4 linked regions of the Saccharomyces cerevisiae S288C genome follow. The main gene of each other region encodes a partner of the protein of the gene in region 2 in a complex. Each region holds a gene or a part of one and is shown on either strand. Other genes may lie near its edges. The genes, in order: RPA135, RPC40, RPC10 and RPC19. A codon is read from its position in the direction of its gene.

The links.
Region 1: the proteins of RPC40 (region 2) and RPA135 are in contact, whole or in part, in a crystal structure (PDB 4C3I), measured with the Saccharomyces cerevisiae proteins. Residues at the interface, in NP_015435.1 of Saccharomyces cerevisiae: Thr61 (codon at 2,152), Ser62 (codon at 2,155), Asn65 (codon at 2,164), Arg68 (codon at 2,173), Arg69 (codon at 2,176), Ile72 (codon at 2,185), Ser73 (codon at 2,188), Gln93 (codon at 2,248), Glu95 (codon at 2,254), Val96 (codon at 2,257), His99 (codon at 2,266), Leu103 (codon at 2,278), Ser150 (codon at 2,419), Gly214 (codon at 2,611), Asp215 (codon at 2,614), His216 (codon at 2,617), Ala217 (codon at 2,620), Thr224 (codon at 2,641), Ser226 (codon at 2,647), Tyr227 (codon at 2,650), Arg228 (codon at 2,653), Leu229 (codon at 2,656), Thr274 (codon at 2,791), Val275 (codon at 2,794), Ser276 (codon at 2,797), Arg277 (codon at 2,800), Glu278 (codon at 2,803), Arg281 (codon at 2,812), Arg293 (codon at 2,848), Arg295 (codon at 2,854); in NP_015335.1 of Saccharomyces cerevisiae: Asn27 (codon at 1,993), Arg743 (codon at 4,141), Gln745 (codon at 4,147), Lys791 (codon at 4,285), Ser792 (codon at 4,288), Glu795 (codon at 4,297), Arg796 (codon at 4,300), Gly797 (codon at 4,303), Tyr800 (codon at 4,312), Thr802 (codon at 4,318), Tyr804 (codon at 4,324), Tyr881 (codon at 4,555), Glu883 (codon at 4,561), Arg906 (codon at 4,630), Arg908 (codon at 4,636), Thr933 (codon at 4,711), Ile934 (codon at 4,714), Asp935 (codon at 4,717), Phe938 (codon at 4,726), Ser939 (codon at 4,729), Glu940 (codon at 4,732), Gly942 (codon at 4,738), Gln944 (codon at 4,744), Ala1001 (codon at 4,915), Gly1004 (codon at 4,924), Tyr1005 (codon at 4,927), Asn1006 (codon at 4,930), Tyr1007 (codon at 4,933), His1008 (codon at 4,936), Pro1012 (codon at 4,948).
Region 3: the proteins of RPC40 (region 2) and RPC10 are in contact, whole or in part, in a cryo-EM structure (PDB 5M3M), measured with the Saccharomyces cerevisiae proteins. Residues at the interface, in NP_015435.1 of Saccharomyces cerevisiae: Ala80 (codon at 2,209), Glu81 (codon at 2,212), Tyr82 (codon at 2,215), Val83 (codon at 2,218), Tyr84 (codon at 2,221), Phe85 (codon at 2,224), Phe86 (codon at 2,227), Asn87 (codon at 2,230), Asn88 (codon at 2,233), Thr89 (codon at 2,236), Asp94 (codon at 2,251), Glu95 (codon at 2,254), Ala98 (codon at 2,263), His99 (codon at 2,266), Gly102 (codon at 2,275), His216 (codon at 2,617), Lys218 (codon at 2,623); in NP_012013.1 of Saccharomyces cerevisiae: Arg60 (codon at 2,170), Thr61 (codon at 2,173), Lys62 (codon at 2,176), Arg63 (codon at 2,179), Leu64 (codon at 2,182), Val65 (codon at 2,185), Gln66 (codon at 2,188), Phe67 (codon at 2,191), Glu68 (codon at 2,194), Ala69 (codon at 2,197), Arg70 (codon at 2,200).
Region 4: the proteins of RPC40 (region 2) and RPC19 are in contact, whole or in part, in a cryo-EM structure (PDB 7Z30), measured with the Saccharomyces cerevisiae proteins. Residues at the interface, in NP_015435.1 of Saccharomyces cerevisiae: Asp19 (codon at 2,026), Phe20 (codon at 2,029), Pro21 (codon at 2,032), Asn29 (codon at 2,056), Glu30 (codon at 2,059), Trp31 (codon at 2,062), Val33 (codon at 2,068), Phe36 (codon at 2,077), Lys37 (codon at 2,080), Phe40 (codon at 2,089), Val42 (codon at 2,095), Asn43 (codon at 2,098), Ile44 (codon at 2,101), Leu47 (codon at 2,110), Phe54 (codon at 2,131), Ile59 (codon at 2,146), Asp60 (codon at 2,149), Ser62 (codon at 2,155), Ile63 (codon at 2,158), Ala66 (codon at 2,167), Phe67 (codon at 2,170), Arg69 (codon at 2,176), Ile70 (codon at 2,179), Glu74 (codon at 2,191), Glu311 (codon at 2,902), Phe314 (codon at 2,911), Phe315 (codon at 2,914), Val318 (codon at 2,923), Arg319 (codon at 2,926), Leu321 (codon at 2,932); in NP_014286.1 of Saccharomyces cerevisiae: Asp43 (codon at 1,723), Arg44 (codon at 1,726), Lys46 (codon at 1,732), Ile47 (codon at 1,735), Lys48 (codon at 1,738), Leu49 (codon at 1,741), Thr51 (codon at 1,747), Phe63 (codon at 1,783), Ile65 (codon at 1,789), Glu68 (codon at 1,798), Asp69 (codon at 1,801), His70 (codon at 1,804), Thr71 (codon at 1,807), Leu72 (codon at 1,810), Asn74 (codon at 1,816), Ala75 (codon at 1,819), Leu76 (codon at 1,822), Arg77 (codon at 1,825), Tyr78 (codon at 1,828), Val79 (codon at 1,831), Met81 (codon at 1,837), Lys82 (codon at 1,840), Asn83 (codon at 1,843), Pro84 (codon at 1,846), Val114 (codon at 1,936), Leu117 (codon at 1,945), Gln118 (codon at 1,948), Lys119 (codon at 1,951), Leu121 (codon at 1,957), Lys122 (codon at 1,960).

What each region holds. Positions count from the first base shown.
Region 1 is NC_001148.4:576,776-583,110, reverse strand, and holds RPA135 (DNA-directed RNA polymerase I core subunit RPA135), read left to right. Parts: upstream 1-1,914; coding exon 1,915-5,526; downstream 5,527-6,335. Other genes in the region: MRX21 (Mrx21p), read left to right, coding at 1-49; MRA1 (Mra1p), read left to right, coding at 377-409, 553-738; SUT2 (Sut2p), read right to left, coding at 5,753-6,335. UniProt on the Saccharomyces cerevisiae protein: DNA-dependent RNA polymerases catalyze the transcription of DNA into RNA using the four ribonucleoside triphosphates as substrates. Component of RNA polymerase I (Pol I) which synthesizes ribosomal RNA precursors.
Region 2 is NC_001148.4:745,041-748,806, reverse strand, and holds RPC40 (DNA-directed RNA polymerase core subunit RPC40), read left to right. Parts: upstream 1-1,971; coding exon 1,972-2,979; downstream 2,980-3,766. Other genes in the region: serine/threonine-protein kinase DBF20, read right to left, coding at 1-1,501; GLD1 (Gld1p), read right to left, coding at 3,234-3,766. UniProt on the Saccharomyces cerevisiae protein: DNA-dependent RNA polymerases catalyze the transcription of DNA into RNA using the four ribonucleoside triphosphates as substrates.
Region 3 is NC_001140.6:385,241-388,005, forward strand, and holds RPC10 (DNA-directed RNA polymerase core subunit RPC10), read left to right. Parts: upstream 1-1,992; coding exon 1,993-2,205; downstream 2,206-2,765. Other genes in the region: DSE2 (Dse2p), read left to right, coding at 270-1,247; DCD1 (deoxycytidine monophosphate deaminase), read right to left, coding at 2,548-2,765. UniProt on the Saccharomyces cerevisiae protein: DNA-dependent RNA polymerases catalyze the transcription of DNA into RNA using the four ribonucleoside triphosphates as substrates.
Region 4 is NC_001146.8:411,175-414,001, forward strand, and holds RPC19 (DNA-directed RNA polymerase core subunit RPC19), read left to right. Parts: upstream 1-1,596; coding exon 1,597-2,025; downstream 2,026-2,827. Other genes in the region: YNL115C (uncharacterized protein), read right to left, coding at 1-879; DEAD-box ATP-dependent RNA helicase DBP2, read left to right, coding at 2,465-2,827. UniProt on the Saccharomyces cerevisiae protein: DNA-dependent RNA polymerases catalyze the transcription of DNA into RNA using the four ribonucleoside triphosphates as substrates.

The sequences.
Region 1 (6,335 bases), 170 kb from region 2:
GAGTTGGCTAGTTTACGAAGTTGTATGTGATTCTGTAAGAAATTGGTGAGCTTGAGGTGACAGGCTTGGGTCAGCGAAAACCAAGTAATGACGCGATCCCTCCGCTGAAGAACGACATCCTGTATATAGCATTAACTTGTCTATTTTTCTTTATATCGGTCTTGCAGTATGGGCCAATCATATCGTACAAAGCGGGGGATTTCCCGTACTTTATGATGAGCATGAGAACAGACTTTAAAGGCATCGCCATCTCCTCAAAAGCAACTATAACTCTTCCCATACCAGTATAAGCTAACTTTGTTTTGAGACTTATTTAATTTTGGTAGTTTCCTGAACGACTTCTGACAATACTTTAAAAAAAGAAAAATATAGAAAAATGAGACCAGCACAGTTACTGTTGAATACAGCTGTATGTTAAGGGATATTTTCTTTTTATTGTGACAAACGGATAATCATGCGTTCATTCTGACTTGATGCTTTCTAAGAAAACAATTATGTTGATTATGAATGCTAACTACAAGATTATAGAGTATTATACTAACAAAAAACTAGAAAAAAACATCTGGTGGCTACAAAATACCCGTCGAATTAACACCGTTATTTCTCGCTGTTGGTGTAGCTTTATGCTCTGGGACATACTTCACATATAAGAAATTAAGAACTGACGAGACTTTGAGATTGACAGGTAACCCAGAATTATCTAGTTTAGATGAAGTCCTTGCCAAAGATAAGGATTAAAAACCATGTTGATGATTTGTTATATTAATATCTACACTTAAAACATTTTCAATAATTGTCGGGAACAAATCGAAATATTATTTATTCTTCAAATATGACAAAACTAATGTATATTATATACATGTCAACACCACCATGACTATATGTTTAATTGATGTATAATCATTCCATTTTTACACGTGCTCTTTCTTGGCAGCGGTTAAGGGAACCTGATGATAGACCATGCAATAAAAAAGAAAGCCCTGTAGGGGGCTCGAACCCCTAACCTTATGATTAAGAGTCATACGCGCTACCGATTGCGCCAACAAGGCTCTTTTGTTGAAATAAAAAACCGAAACATCTTTATCTAACGAATATTTGGAAGGTGAACCTAACGATAAAATACTACACTATTCATATTGACTGACTGTATCAACGACGTTTAACAGCGATTATCTGCTTATCTCAATATGTGGTTAGCGATTACTTGTTCAAGTCGTTGCTTTACGTTTCTTTTGCAGTTTGATTGTTGCCTTCTCGAGGACAAATCAGTTTCAATGACGATAGAGGTTAGCAAAATTACTATATTAGTGAATTAGTAACGGAGACAAAAAGATTTGTTTAACGGCTTCTTTGTAGTCATCCTGCTGTTGTTTTTGTATGTTTAAGCTTCTTCCTCCGATTAAGTTTTGTACATTTACTTCTGTAAGTTAAAGGGCTCTTTTCTCATTATATTTCAAATGCTAAATCATGCCATGAAAACTTCAAAAAAGCATCAAATGAAGGAAGACGCTGATGACATCGAGTGATGAAATTATTCATAAATCTGCATCAGAGTGTTATATCTACAGAAGCAGACATGCTACAAGAGTTCAAAGCACTTAATGGCATTTCTAATAGATTCTCAGCGCCCTTTTGAGTCTCTGCACTACCACTTAATTATCATACCGCAGAAGCGGCCTCTCGGCCTCCCTTCATGCTATAATCGCTAATGACGGAAATTATTATTGAGATTACTCTTGCGAGTGTTTTTTTTTTTTTTTTTTTTTTTTTTTCGTATGAAAAATTTTTCAAGCGCATCTTAGAGACTCATCTCATCTCTTAATTATTCAAACTTACTTCAGCTGTCTCGTAATATTCAAGCAAGTCTTCCTCAAGAATATTGACAAATAAACGTAGAATTACGCATTTGGTGAGATGAGCAAAGTGATTAAGCCGCCTGGCCAAGCCAGAACTGCTGATTTCCGTACCTTAGAACGTGAATCTAGGTTCATCAATCCACCTAAGGATAAATCAGCATTTCCACTATTACAGGAAGCTGTTCAACCTCATATTGGGTCTTTTAACGCATTAACAGAAGGTCCGGATGGAGGTTTGTTAAATCTTGGTGTTAAAGACATCGGTGAAAAAGTTATATTTGATGGAAAACCACTCAATTCTGAAGACGAAATATCCAACAGCGGATACCTCGGGAATAAGCTTTCTGTTAGTGTGGAACAAGTGTCTATTGCGAAGCCAATGTCTAACGATGGTGTTTCTTCTGCAGTAGAGAGAAAAGTTTACCCAAGTGAGTCAAGACAAAGGCTTACTTCTTACAGAGGTAAATTACTTTTAAAGTTGAAGTGGTCCGTGAACAATGGCGAGGAGAACTTATTTGAAGTAAGAGATTGTGGTGGTCTACCAGTTATGCTACAGAGTAACAGATGTCACTTGAACAAGATGTCACCATATGAACTGGTACAACACAAGGAAGAATCCGATGAAATAGGTGGTTATTTCATTGTTAACGGTATAGAAAAGCTTATTAGAATGCTGATTGTGCAACGTAGAAATCATCCTATGGCTATCATCAGACCTTCCTTCGCTAACAGGGGTGCATCCTATTCTCATTACGGTATTCAAATTAGATCTGTCAGGCCGGATCAAACTTCCCAAACTAATGTTTTGCATTACTTAAATGACGGTCAAGTTACATTTAGATTTTCTTGGAGAAAAAATGAATATTTAGTTCCTGTTGTTATGATTTTAAAAGCCTTGTGTCATACCAGCGATAGGGAAATTTTTGATGGTATTATTGGTAATGACGTTAAGGATTCCTTTTTGACCGATCGTTTAGAATTACTGTTACGTGGTTTTAAGAAAAGATATCCTCATTTACAAAATCGCACACAAGTCTTGCAATATTTAGGAGACAAATTTCGTGTTGTCTTTCAAGCTTCCCCTGATCAATCTGATTTAGAAGTCGGACAAGAAGTCCTTGATCGCATCGTTCTCGTGCATTTGGGTAAGGATGGCAGCCAGGATAAATTCAGAATGTTATTGTTCATGATCAGAAAGTTGTATTCCTTGGTTGCAGGCGAATGTTCTCCAGATAACCCAGATGCTACGCAACATCAAGAAGTTCTTTTGGGTGGTTTCTTATATGGTATGATCCTAAAAGAAAAGATTGATGAGTACTTACAGAATATTATTGCTCAAGTCAGGATGGATATTAACCGTGGTATGGCCATTAATTTCAAAGACAAAAGGTACATGTCAAGAGTTTTAATGAGGGTTAATGAAAACATTGGTTCCAAAATGCAATACTTTTTATCAACTGGTAACCTGGTGTCCCAGTCTGGGTTAGATTTACAACAAGTTTCTGGTTATACTGTGGTTGCAGAAAAAATTAACTTCTACCGTTTTATCTCTCATTTTAGAATGGTTCATAGAGGCTCCTTTTTTGCGCAATTGAAAACTACCACAGTCAGAAAGTTGCTACCTGAGTCGTGGGGATTCCTGTGCCCTGTTCATACACCAGATGGTTCTCCTTGTGGTTTATTAAACCATTTTGCGCACAAGTGTCGTATATCAACTCAGCAATCTGACGTCTCAAGAATTCCTTCTATATTATACTCACTTGGTGTTGCTCCGGCATCTCACACCTTTGCTGCTGGTCCTTCTCTGTGTTGTGTTCAAATTGATGGTAAAATTATTGGCTGGGTCTCTCATGAACAAGGTAAGATCATTGCGGATACATTGAGATATTGGAAAGTTGAAGGCAAGACGCCTGGGTTACCGATTGATCTAGAAATTGGATATGTTCCTCCCTCAACTCGTGGTCAATATCCAGGTCTCTACCTATTTGGTGGTCATTCTAGGATGCTGCGTCCTGTTCGTTACCTGCCTTTGGATAAAGAAGACATTGTTGGACCTTTTGAGCAAGTGTACATGAACATTGCTGTCACTCCTCAAGAAATTCAAAATAACGTTCATACACACGTAGAATTTACGCCCACAAATATTCTTTCTATTTTGGCTAATTTGACTCCATTTTCTGATTTCAACCAGTCTCCAAGAAACATGTATCAATGTCAGATGGGTAAACAAACAATGGGTACTCCGGGTGTAGCTTTGTGCCATCGTTCCGACAATAAGCTGTATAGGTTGCAAACAGGTCAAACGCCTATCGTAAAAGCTAATTTATATGATGATTATGGCATGGATAACTTTCCAAACGGGTTTAATGCTGTTGTTGCGGTCATCTCGTATACTGGTTATGATATGGATGATGCAATGATTATAAACAAATCAGCAGATGAAAGAGGTTTCGGTTATGGTACTATGTATAAGACTGAGAAAGTGGATTTAGCACTTAACAGAAACCGTGGTGACCCAATTACACAGCATTTTGGTTTCGGGAATGACGAATGGCCAAAGGAGTGGCTTGAGAAATTAGACGAGGATGGTTTGCCATACATTGGCACTTATGTTGAAGAGGGTGATCCAATCTGCGCATACTTTGACGATACTTTAAATAAGACCAAAATCAAGACATATCACTCCTCTGAACCAGCATATATCGAAGAGGTAAATTTAATCGGTGATGAATCCAATAAGTTCCAAGAACTACAAACTGTTAGCATAAAATATCGTATTAGAAGAACGCCTCAAATTGGTGATAAATTTTCTTCTAGACACGGTCAAAAAGGTGTTTGTTCAAGAAAATGGCCAACCATTGATATGCCTTTTAGCGAAACAGGTATCCAACCAGACATCATCATTAACCCTCATGCTTTCCCTTCGCGTATGACCATTGGTATGTTCGTCGAATCTTTAGCAGGTAAAGCGGGGGCATTGCATGGTATTGCACAGGACTCTACACCTTGGATCTTTAACGAGGACGATACCCCAGCCGATTACTTTGGTGAGCAACTAGCGAAGGCGGGTTACAACTACCATGGTAATGAGCCAATGTACTCAGGTGCTACTGGTGAAGAATTAAGGGCAGATATTTATGTTGGTGTTGTCTACTACCAAAGATTACGTCATATGGTCAATGACAAGTTCCAAGTTCGTTCCACTGGTCCTGTGAATAGTTTGACTATGCAGCCTGTCAAAGGTAGAAAGAGACATGGTGGTATTCGTGTCGGTGAAATGGAAAGAGATGCTTTGATTGGGCATGGTACATCTTTTCTATTACAAGATCGTCTGCTAAATTCATCAGACTACACACAGGCATCCGTATGTCGCGAGTGTGGTTCTATTTTGACCACGCAACAGAGTGTGCCAAGAATTGGTTCGATTTCCACCGTTTGTTGCCGTCGTTGTTCCATGAGATTCGAAGATGCAAAGAAGCTATTGACTAAATCAGAAGATGGAGAGAAAATTTTTATTGACGACTCTCAAATTTGGGAAGATGGACAAGGTAACAAATTTGTTGGTGGTAATGAAACAACTACGGTGGCCATACCATTTGTGTTGAAGTACTTGGACTCTGAGCTATCCGCAATGGGTATAAGATTGCGTTATAATGTAGAGCCCAAATAGAGAAATACCCTTCTTTCCAAATTGATATAGAATGGTAAATGAAGGCTTGGTCAATTGTATCATATAGAGGTTTTTTATTGAATTACTTATACAAGAGCGCCCCGCAATAGAATATATATGTATGAGTAAACAAATTTATATCTTGCAGAAAAATATCTAACTTATTATTGGTGCGTTTTATTAATATTCCTATATTTTACATAGGAGGAAATTACATGCATGAAACCTAAAGGGTTTGGAAGCCAGCGGCAACATAATCATCGACAGTCATCTCGAAGATACTTTTGTCTTTAAGTTTACTATTTATCTTGGGAAATACGTTCATATCAGATTTTGTAAATCCTCTCGAAAAAAGACACTTTCCATTTTTTTGGTTTCTTCTACTGCAAGAGGTGCAGGCTTTGAAAAGGACTATTTTATCAAGGTGTTTTATGACTTCATATGTGCCCATCACGTCAGGCAGTTTCCTGAAAAACTTCATTCGAAACTGGTTTATGTCGTCTTGGGAAAGTGTATAATGCAAATTTGAAGAAATTGATGAAATTAGGTTCCTATCCTGTAAAAAGATAATGATTGTTGCATTGCATTTTATTTTCTTTATCCTACAAGAGTCACAACTTGGGCCGTCCCTCTGACGTTTTCTTTTGAGTCTGTTCGTTGCTATAGATGAAACAACCGCTGAATCGGTTGTTTCGCCGGAAGAAACAGTTTTATAGTATTCAGTGTACTCTGTTGGGCAACCAAGCTTGGGAAGCTTAGTCTTTTCGGATTCTTTTTGCCAATTACTATAACTGTGGTCTGCACATTGA
Region 2 (3,766 bases):
TGAAGTCATCGAAATAACCTGCATCCGTTTCATCATCTAATTGAGGAATAAATGGTGGAGAACTTGTTCTTAGGGTTTCAAAATTGATCTCTGCGAAATAAGACATTTTGCGAACTTGCTCAAAAGATCGTACTCTGTTGATGGGGTCAGCTATTAGTCTTGTAATTAAATCCCAGGTTCTATCTGAGAATGCTGCTCTTCTATCCTCAGTACGGGGCCTTCTTAAAGTTTTTTTCCAATATCTTAAATTCTCGTAAGTTTCATTAGTAGAAGAACCACTAAAAGGTGTATATCCAACCAAACTTTCAAAAAGCATACAGCCTAATGACCAATAATCCACTGTAAAATCGTATTTTTTACCTTCCAGAACTTCTAGGGCCATATAATCAGGCGAACCGACCATAGAGTTAGCGTAATTAATTTCTGTCTTCCTCATGTTATGATATATTTTCCTTCTATCCTCGATAGACCTTTCTGTGAAAGCAGGAAATTCCAAATTCTTTACTTCTTCTAAGCGTATTTTCATGCTTTCGATTCTTTCATTTGATACGGTCCCTGCTGCTAGACCAAAATCGGTCAGCTTGATATGCCCTGTAGCATCAATCAAGAAATTCTCCGGCTTTAAATCCCGGTGAGTGTAACCAAGTTCATGCAACGCGTTCACGGCACAAAACATTTCGCTGATATAGAACCTTGCGTGACCGCTCTTCAATATCCTTGTATTTATTAACAATGTGCGAAAATCACCACCAGGTACAAATTCCATTGCTAAATATAGGCTCTCTGGATCCTGAAATGCATAAAGCAACTTCACAAGCCAGTCAGATCTAGTTGTGGTTAGTATGTCCCTCTCAGTAAGGACGTGATTCGTCTCGTTTAGTTTGAATAAAAGTTTCTTGTTTAATATTTTCAAAGCACAAATTTCATCACTGTCTTTTTTTTTTGCAAGATAAACTTGCCCATAACCACCCTGTCCAACTTGTGTCAGTATCTGAAAATCCTTGTGCTTAGGTTTCAACCTCCTTTTTCTCAGTACTTCGTGTTCTCTTTGCAAATACAAAGCCCATTCTTCATTTAAAACCTTATTAGAAACGTTTTTGACACTTCTTTGCTGTTCAAGATATCTTAGCACCTGCTTCGTACGTTGTCTTCTGCTAATAACATAATCAAACATGTCACAGTAATAGTCGAGAAAGTAAAGTTGGCATACATTAACAACTCTCTGGGTTTTACTTTGGGAAGCACGCTCGTGAAAATCCTTGGGTAGCTTCTTCGGTGAGTGATTCAATGAAATGCGATTTTTGAAGGTATCTTGATCATCTGAATCACACGGCTTATATGATCTTGGAAGTCCGGGAGTTAATCTTCCATTTTCGCTCTTTCTAGCAGGCCTATATTGCGCCTGTGGAGAAGTAGGTTTAGGAATATTCAAATCATAGAACCCTAAATGACTCATATTACCAGCCAAATCATCTACCTCTCGATCACTTCGTGAAAACATGACTACCGAATTATTGTTGAATACGATATTCTGGGTTGCTAATCACTATTGGAGTTACAAGTTTGTTGCGACAATACAGTTCATCATGATCTGTGATCTAGCCGACTACAGGTCCATTGATTTGTGTTTACTCTCAAAATCTTGTATGAGGTGTATGGGTTAATTATCCATTCAAAGACAAAAATTTATGATCTTGGTGTTTGTATATAAAAATTAGTCAGAAGACATGCTTATTCTTGATTTTATATTAATTAGAAAGAGATGTTGCATTATCCCATACTTGTCGTTTGTCTTCTGCTACAATACATTGTGCTTTATGTTGCAAATATTTATTAATTCCGTTTATAGTGACTTGGATTCACAAAAATTTTGTGAAAAAATTATTGCGATGAGTTGAAAGAAAAAATTTCACTCATATTATGTAGAAGAGCAGGTATCAAGTGCATGAAAGTAAGTAGGTGAAAGAAGATATGTCAAATATTGTGGGTATTGAATATAACCGTGTAACGAATACAACCTCCACGGATTTTCCTGGTTTCTCGAAGGATGCAGAAAACGAGTGGAATGTGGAAAAATTCAAAAAGGACTTCGAAGTCAATATTTCGTCATTAGACGCAAGAGAGGCAAATTTCGACTTGATAAACATTGACACATCGATTGCGAATGCCTTTCGTCGTATAATGATTTCCGAGGTTCCATCCGTGGCTGCTGAATACGTCTATTTTTTTAACAATACATCCGTTATCCAAGATGAGGTTTTGGCTCATAGAATAGGCTTGGTTCCATTAAAAGTTGACCCTGATATGCTCACATGGGTTGATAGTAATTTGCCGGACGATGAAAAGTTTACGGATGAAAATACTATCGTTTTGAGTTTGAACGTGAAGTGCACAAGAAATCCAGATGCTCCAAAGGGATCTACTGATCCAAAGGAACTATATAACAATGCCCATGTCTACGCCCGTGATTTGAAGTTTGAACCACAGGGCAGACAATCTACCACTTTTGCTGATTGTCCGGTTGTTCCAGCTGATCCTGATATTTTATTAGCTAAGCTAAGGCCTGGTCAAGAAATTTCGTTGAAGGCACATTGCATTTTAGGTATCGGTGGTGATCATGCTAAATTTTCACCAGTTTCCACCGCTTCTTATAGATTATTACCTCAAATCAATATCTTACAGCCAATCAAAGGTGAAAGTGCCAGAAGATTTCAAAAATGTTTTCCCCCAGGTGTTATTGGTATTGATGAAGGTTCAGATGAAGCGTATGTCAAAGATGCTAGGAAGGATACGGTTTCCAGGGAGGTTTTAAGATACGAAGAGTTTGCTGATAAAGTTAAATTAGGAAGAGTGAGGAACCACTTTATTTTCAACGTAGAAAGCGCTGGTGCCATGACACCAGAAGAAATTTTTTTCAAATCCGTCAGGATTTTAAAGAATAAGGCTGAGTATTTGAAAAACTGTCCAATTACCCAATGATCCTACTTTGCATACTAATAAAAAAAACACAGTTTGAGAAAAATATTAAATACTTAACCTCAGGGTCTTTATCTTTGTATAATCTTTTCTTCTAGTATTAGTAGAATTGGCAAATCCTACCAAAAAAATACAAACCCATGAATCGTCATAGATAAGGAAATGTAATAGAATGATATATGTAAATGTAACTCTCTATAAAATAGTGCCGATAACAGTAATATGCATTACCCCTTATGGACTACATATATATACTATTAGACAGAATTGCTAGCATTCTCATTGTTGTCATTAATATTGCCGTCATTTAAAATGGCATTCATGGTTTTATTTAATGGTATTCGTGCAACTATTACAGAGCCATCGTAGCCATCACTATTTACAGGTTCTAGTCTTTCTGGCTCTTCAAAATCTAAATCTGCCAATACAACACATGTTAGTGAAAATAAAGTAAACTGTACAATAAGTATGCTAAATTCGAACATTACTAATCCAAGATTGCCGGAAAAGTTGCTCTTTGGTAGCCGTTCTCCGATCATCTGTAGAAAAAGCCCACCTCTTCTCTCACCCAAAAGTAGACCATCTGAATTGGAAAAGGGTGAGGGAGTATTCTTAGGGCCATCGTCTACTGGCTCGCTACCACTCAGGGGTTCAAAAAAATCAATTGGGAATAGGATTGTTAAGATAATGAAAAGCATATTCAACGATAAGCAACCATGAAATAAAAACTTCCGGATTTGCTTTTTCATGGACACAATAGCGGTATCATCATGGTCTTGTTGCTCAGCTT
Region 3 (2,765 bases), on a different chromosome or scaffold from region 2:
CAAGTAAACCAGCAATATCGACTTCCATTAAGTAGACAGCGAGCCTGAAACAAAGAATATACTGTTTCAATTCCAACTAAAGCCACTCCCTCAAGCGTTATTATTTTTTGAATTATATTTTCGGGTTTTAAGCTAACTCTAGTCATTCCTTACTACATTTTATTGTAACTCTTCAGTAGAGCTAACCACAGTCATTCCTTAATATTTTTTAACACAGATCTCTTTCACAGAGTAGAAATAAAGCCACTCCTTTAACAAATTACAAAGAAATGAAATTTAATTTTTCTACAATTTTCAATATCTTATTCTTTTTATTCACCTTAATTGAAGCCAACAGCAATGGGGAAACAGTCAAACTTATTACTTCTGATGGTATTGTTTACAGTTATGCTGTCTACACAAAGACTCTTGCGCCGGCAAGGGTTGTGGTTAAAACGATTTCATATACTACTACAAGGGTATATCCGATTACTTTAGCTAATTCCGTCGTTTCTTCCACTACTGAAAAGATAACAGAGGTTTCAACGGTGTCAGCTTCAGAACAAGTTAGTGCTACTCAAACAAACTCATTGGTTTCTACTTCTACTGTTTCCACTATCAGTCCAACGATTTCATCTGGTTCTTCAACATCCTCTAGCTCTACATACGATATCGAATCATCTCAAAGTATCGAATCGTCAGGTACATCTTCCGCTACAGCCGAACCATCTGCGTCTTCAGGTTTTCGTTTGACTTCTAGTTCTGCTTTTGTTTCATCTACTGCACCTTTCTCTTCCCAACTTTCTTCATCTTCATCTTCTGAAACATCATCCTCATCATTTTCAACATCATCATCATCTGCCCCTCTTTCCTTAACTTCTTCTTCTTCTTCTTCTTCTTCTTTCGCCACTATTATTACCTTGGCACCATCGAGCTCAAAAAGCGGAAACTCTCAACTAACTTTGGCGTCATCGTCTTCCACTTCCGCAGTTGAGTCATCCCAAACAGGGTCCACTATAGCAAGAACTACCTCTACACTGGTACCCTCTTCTAGCGTAGATACAACGTCTAGAGCAACGACATCCATGCCATTAGAATCGTCTTCTACGCAATCGATATCCGTCTCCAGCTCGGATGGCACTTGTTACGTTTTTTATGATGATGATGACTACTATAGTACTGTCTACTTAACTAACCCGTCTCAATCCGTTGATGCCGCCACCACTATAACTAGTACAAACACAATTTATGCTACGGTTACCATTTAGCGCTTAGGCATAATGGTGGTGCATTCTTTTCTATTTGTTTTCTCAGGCGTATTTTTTCCATTATTTTTTGTTAAAAATAGTAAAAAGACAGTATTATTTATTCATTTTTCCTCGTGTTGTTATAACGACTAAGTTTCCTAATTTCTTTATTTTGTTTTTTTCTCATGATCTTTTCATTTTGTAGTTTCAACTATTATATACAATGTGTATACTATAACTTAATTTTATTAGTTACCTCTTACTAAGGATACTGATTCTTCCCCACTCATTTCATGAATTCATCACAAGTCTTTAGTATTTTTCATATGGAAATTACATCACCTATATATATCAAAATGTTCCGGCGAGTACATTGTCAGAATCTACAGTTTTTCCTGATATGAGCAGTGATATGGAGAAAGAGACACTAAATAAGAACAAAATATTGCCGTAGATTTAATGATTCAATCATGTGTGTCAAATTTGTTCTCCATTGCATCTTCCTATTTGACATTTGTCTCATGACCACGACATTGTACATTACCAGGTAAGGCTACAATTAGCCTCACCGATGTAACGTTATATAACGCTGCGGTCGTAGAATATGATTTTTCTGAATTTTAATTTTTTTTTTTTTTTTTTTCATTTCTTTAACATCTAAAATAGATTTTAGAATCAGAAAAGTGAAGAGTATTCCACATCATCGACTTATTCTACCAACATTTAATAAGAACGTACCCAAGAATAAAAGTCCACAAGTATAACAATGTCTCGCGAAGGGTTCCAGATTCCAACAAATTTAGACGCCGCAGCTGCAGGTACTTCTCAAGCTAGAACGGCAACTTTGAAGTATATTTGTGCTGAATGTTCTAGTAAATTATCTTTATCCAGAACTGATGCAGTCCGTTGTAAGGACTGTGGTCATAGAATCCTGTTGAAGGCTAGGACTAAGAGATTGGTTCAATTTGAAGCTAGATGAATGGAGAGACTGAAAACCATAATGGGTTACCGGGGCAGAATAATACGAAATAAAGAACCTAGGTTTTCCAAGGTTTTTGCAATATATAAACTTGTGCTTGATTTAAGTTTATGCAGCACTTTTCTTCCAGCAAATTCTTTATGTTTTTTTAAGGGAAAACGTATATCACTTAGAGATTATATTAATGAAAAAAGGTGTATACAAATGTATAATAATAATAGTATATAAGAAAAGTATTCGCTATTTATAGTGATTTTAGTTTGTACAATGTACTGTATTTTTTTTAAATGTAGTATTTTATATATATGTTACATTAGTTCGAACTGAAAAGGAACTTATGAATTAAATCATCACAATTCTTGGTTCTTCCGTAAAGCTGAATTGCCGGACGGTTATTCCCGCATTCTTCAAGACCTTGAAACTTTCCTCGTCCATTCTATAACTTTGGCTATAAACTACTTCACTGATGCCTGTTTGAACAATCTTTACAGAACATGTTAAGCAAGGGCAAGTATCACAGTATAAGGTCGCATTTTGACCTACACGATCCCTGCCAGCTT
Region 4 (2,827 bases), on a different chromosome or scaffold from region 2:
ATCCAATGTCGTTAAAAGTGTATTCAGGGTGAATAAAGCGAAGAATATTAAAATTAAAAACTTAATAGTATTCCTGAACCCAATGGATACCCATTCTGTCAATGTATGTTTGTTTTGGACCAGCTGCGAGCGGTGGGTGGGGGTTGGCGACCCAGAGCCATATTGGCTTCTGTCCCTGTTTTCGGTACTATTTGTATGGTTTTCGTTGAAAGTACTAATATTAGCATCATCAATTCTGCGTTCCTCCAATGGCTCATTTATTGAGTTGTTGTAAAACAAGAGATACCAATCTAATATTGCCCCAATAAAAAATGAAAACGAAGTCCACAAATATGTAAACGTGCCCACAAAGCCGATTCTTTGCCTAGTGTATTTAATTAGATAGGTCAATGCTAGATTGAACAACGTCAAAACACAGAGAGTTACATTTAAGCTGTAATCTAAAGCTGAGTACAGTCCCAGCTTATTAAACCAGAGATTGAAAGAATTAGCTATGATCGAGATGAATATTAAAGTCAAGTCGTTAAAACTTGCGTACCTGTTACTGAATCCGAAAAGAATATTGATATTGAAAAAGAAATCTGAAATCAAAGTGGTGACTAGCCAGATGGTGTTAATTAGAATTAGGATATTTAATATCCATTTGGAGTTATGAATAAAGATTCTATAACCTTTGCGAATTTGAAAGAGACTATCTTTGATGAACCCATCGGATTCAATGTCACGACCTTCATTAACTGCTGGGCCATTCGCGGATCCTGCACCAAGGGTCCGGTGGTTGTTGTTCAGCAACGGTTGCGCTTCTGGGTGTTCACTATCTATATCTGTTCTTTCCATTCCCGTCCTTGCCGGATCATTATCTAAACCATTAGCCTTCATGATCTGTTCGCTCTGATGCCTACAGTTCTTTCTTCAATGGCTTTCCTTTCCTTTCCTCCTTATAGAATATAGCAAGGCATCTAACTTTTAGTTTTTCTCTCATCCCTTTAAACTGCACGATGGTTAAAATTAGGGGTCCGAATAGCCTTGCAAGGAATAGATTAAAGAACACTATATATGCATAGCCACTTCAAAACGTGCTGAGAACATGCCATCAAGGTTGACCAATACGATTGCTGATTCGACAACTTCTACATTACATAGGCATATACATATCAGAAAAACGTGCTTTATAGGTACATTTTTTAATTCCTTAAACATAACTTGCTTCTATTTTGGGATAGTTCCTTTTCTTTGAACTACGTTTTTTGGGCAGAAATATAAAAAAAAACCGAAAAAAACGGCACGCAAGAAAGCTTATTCAAAAAGACGCAACAATATCATAGATTATTCTAAGTACCAACAACGTGATAAACTTTGTTCTAATAAAGCTACATCTTATCTCTTCTGTACAGCTTTATTGGGGTGAATCATATTTACTTCAATCCGGGTAATGGTAAACGTAACAAGTGATAGAAATATTCACCTGCGATGAGCTGGAAAAAAAAAAAATTTCAAAAGAAAACCATACTAATGCTGAGGTATAAAGTAACGAATTGGGGAAAGGCCATCAATCCAAAGTCGGAAAAATTGAACTTCACATAAAGTACCAGGCAAATGACTGAAGACATCGAACAAAAAAAGACCGCTACAGAGGTAACACCACAAGAACCAAAGCACATCCAAGAAGAAGAAGAACAGGATGTTGATATGACTGGCGATGAAGAACAGGAAGAGGAACCAGACAGGGAAAAAATTAAGCTTCTCACACAGGCAACATCTGAAGATGGAACTAGTGCCTCTTTTCAAATTGTAGAGGAGGATCACACGCTTGGAAATGCCCTTCGTTACGTTATAATGAAAAATCCAGACGTAGAATTTTGTGGTTACTCGATACCTCATCCTTCTGAAAACCTATTAAATATCAGAATTCAAACCTACGGTGAAACGACCGCGGTGGATGCTCTTCAAAAAGGGCTAAAGGACTTGATGGATTTATGTGACGTTGTAGAATCTAAGTTTACTGAAAAAATCAAGAGCATGTAGATGTTACGGATCGACTCAAAGACCCTCTGTCACTCTGAAATTTCTAATAATTATGCACACCACGCTAGTATAGATACAGCTTGATTTGTGTATCCCGTTTATAGTCGTGCTATTTAAAATCTATGTATAATATAACCAGATAAAAATACACCTTCGTACAAGGTGCTAATAATGTTGAGAATTCGAAATTCCTTTTTAAAGGCGTATTCCGTATTGAATGATTGAAAAATTTATTTCTTTTTTTATTTCTTTTTTTTTTTTTTTTTTTTTTTTTTACGCCGATGCTCATCGCAGAAAATTTTTCCTTCAGTTTATTTGTCTTATAAAAAGACTGTCCTACGCTCAAATAACTTATACTTTTCTGTATCTCATTCAAATTATTTTCTTGTCAACAACCTGTAACAGAATTAAGCACTATTAAGGCAAATTTAGAGCAAATATGACTTACGGTGGTAGAGATCAGCAATATAACAAGACTAACTACAAGTCTAGAGGTGGCGACTTCCGCGGTGGAAGAAACTCTGATAGAAACTCTTACAATGACAGACCACAAGGCGGTAACTACCGTGGTGGTTTCGGTGGTCGTTCCAATTACAACCAACCCCAGGAATTGATCAAACCAAACTGGGATGAAGAATTACCCAAATTGCCAACTTTCGAAAAGAATTTCTATGTTGAACACGAAAGTGTTCGCGACAGATCGGACAGTGAGATTGCTCAGTTCAGAAAGGAAAATGAAATGACTATTTCCGGACACGATATTCCAAAGCCAATCACCACTTTCGATGAAGCTGGTTTCCCA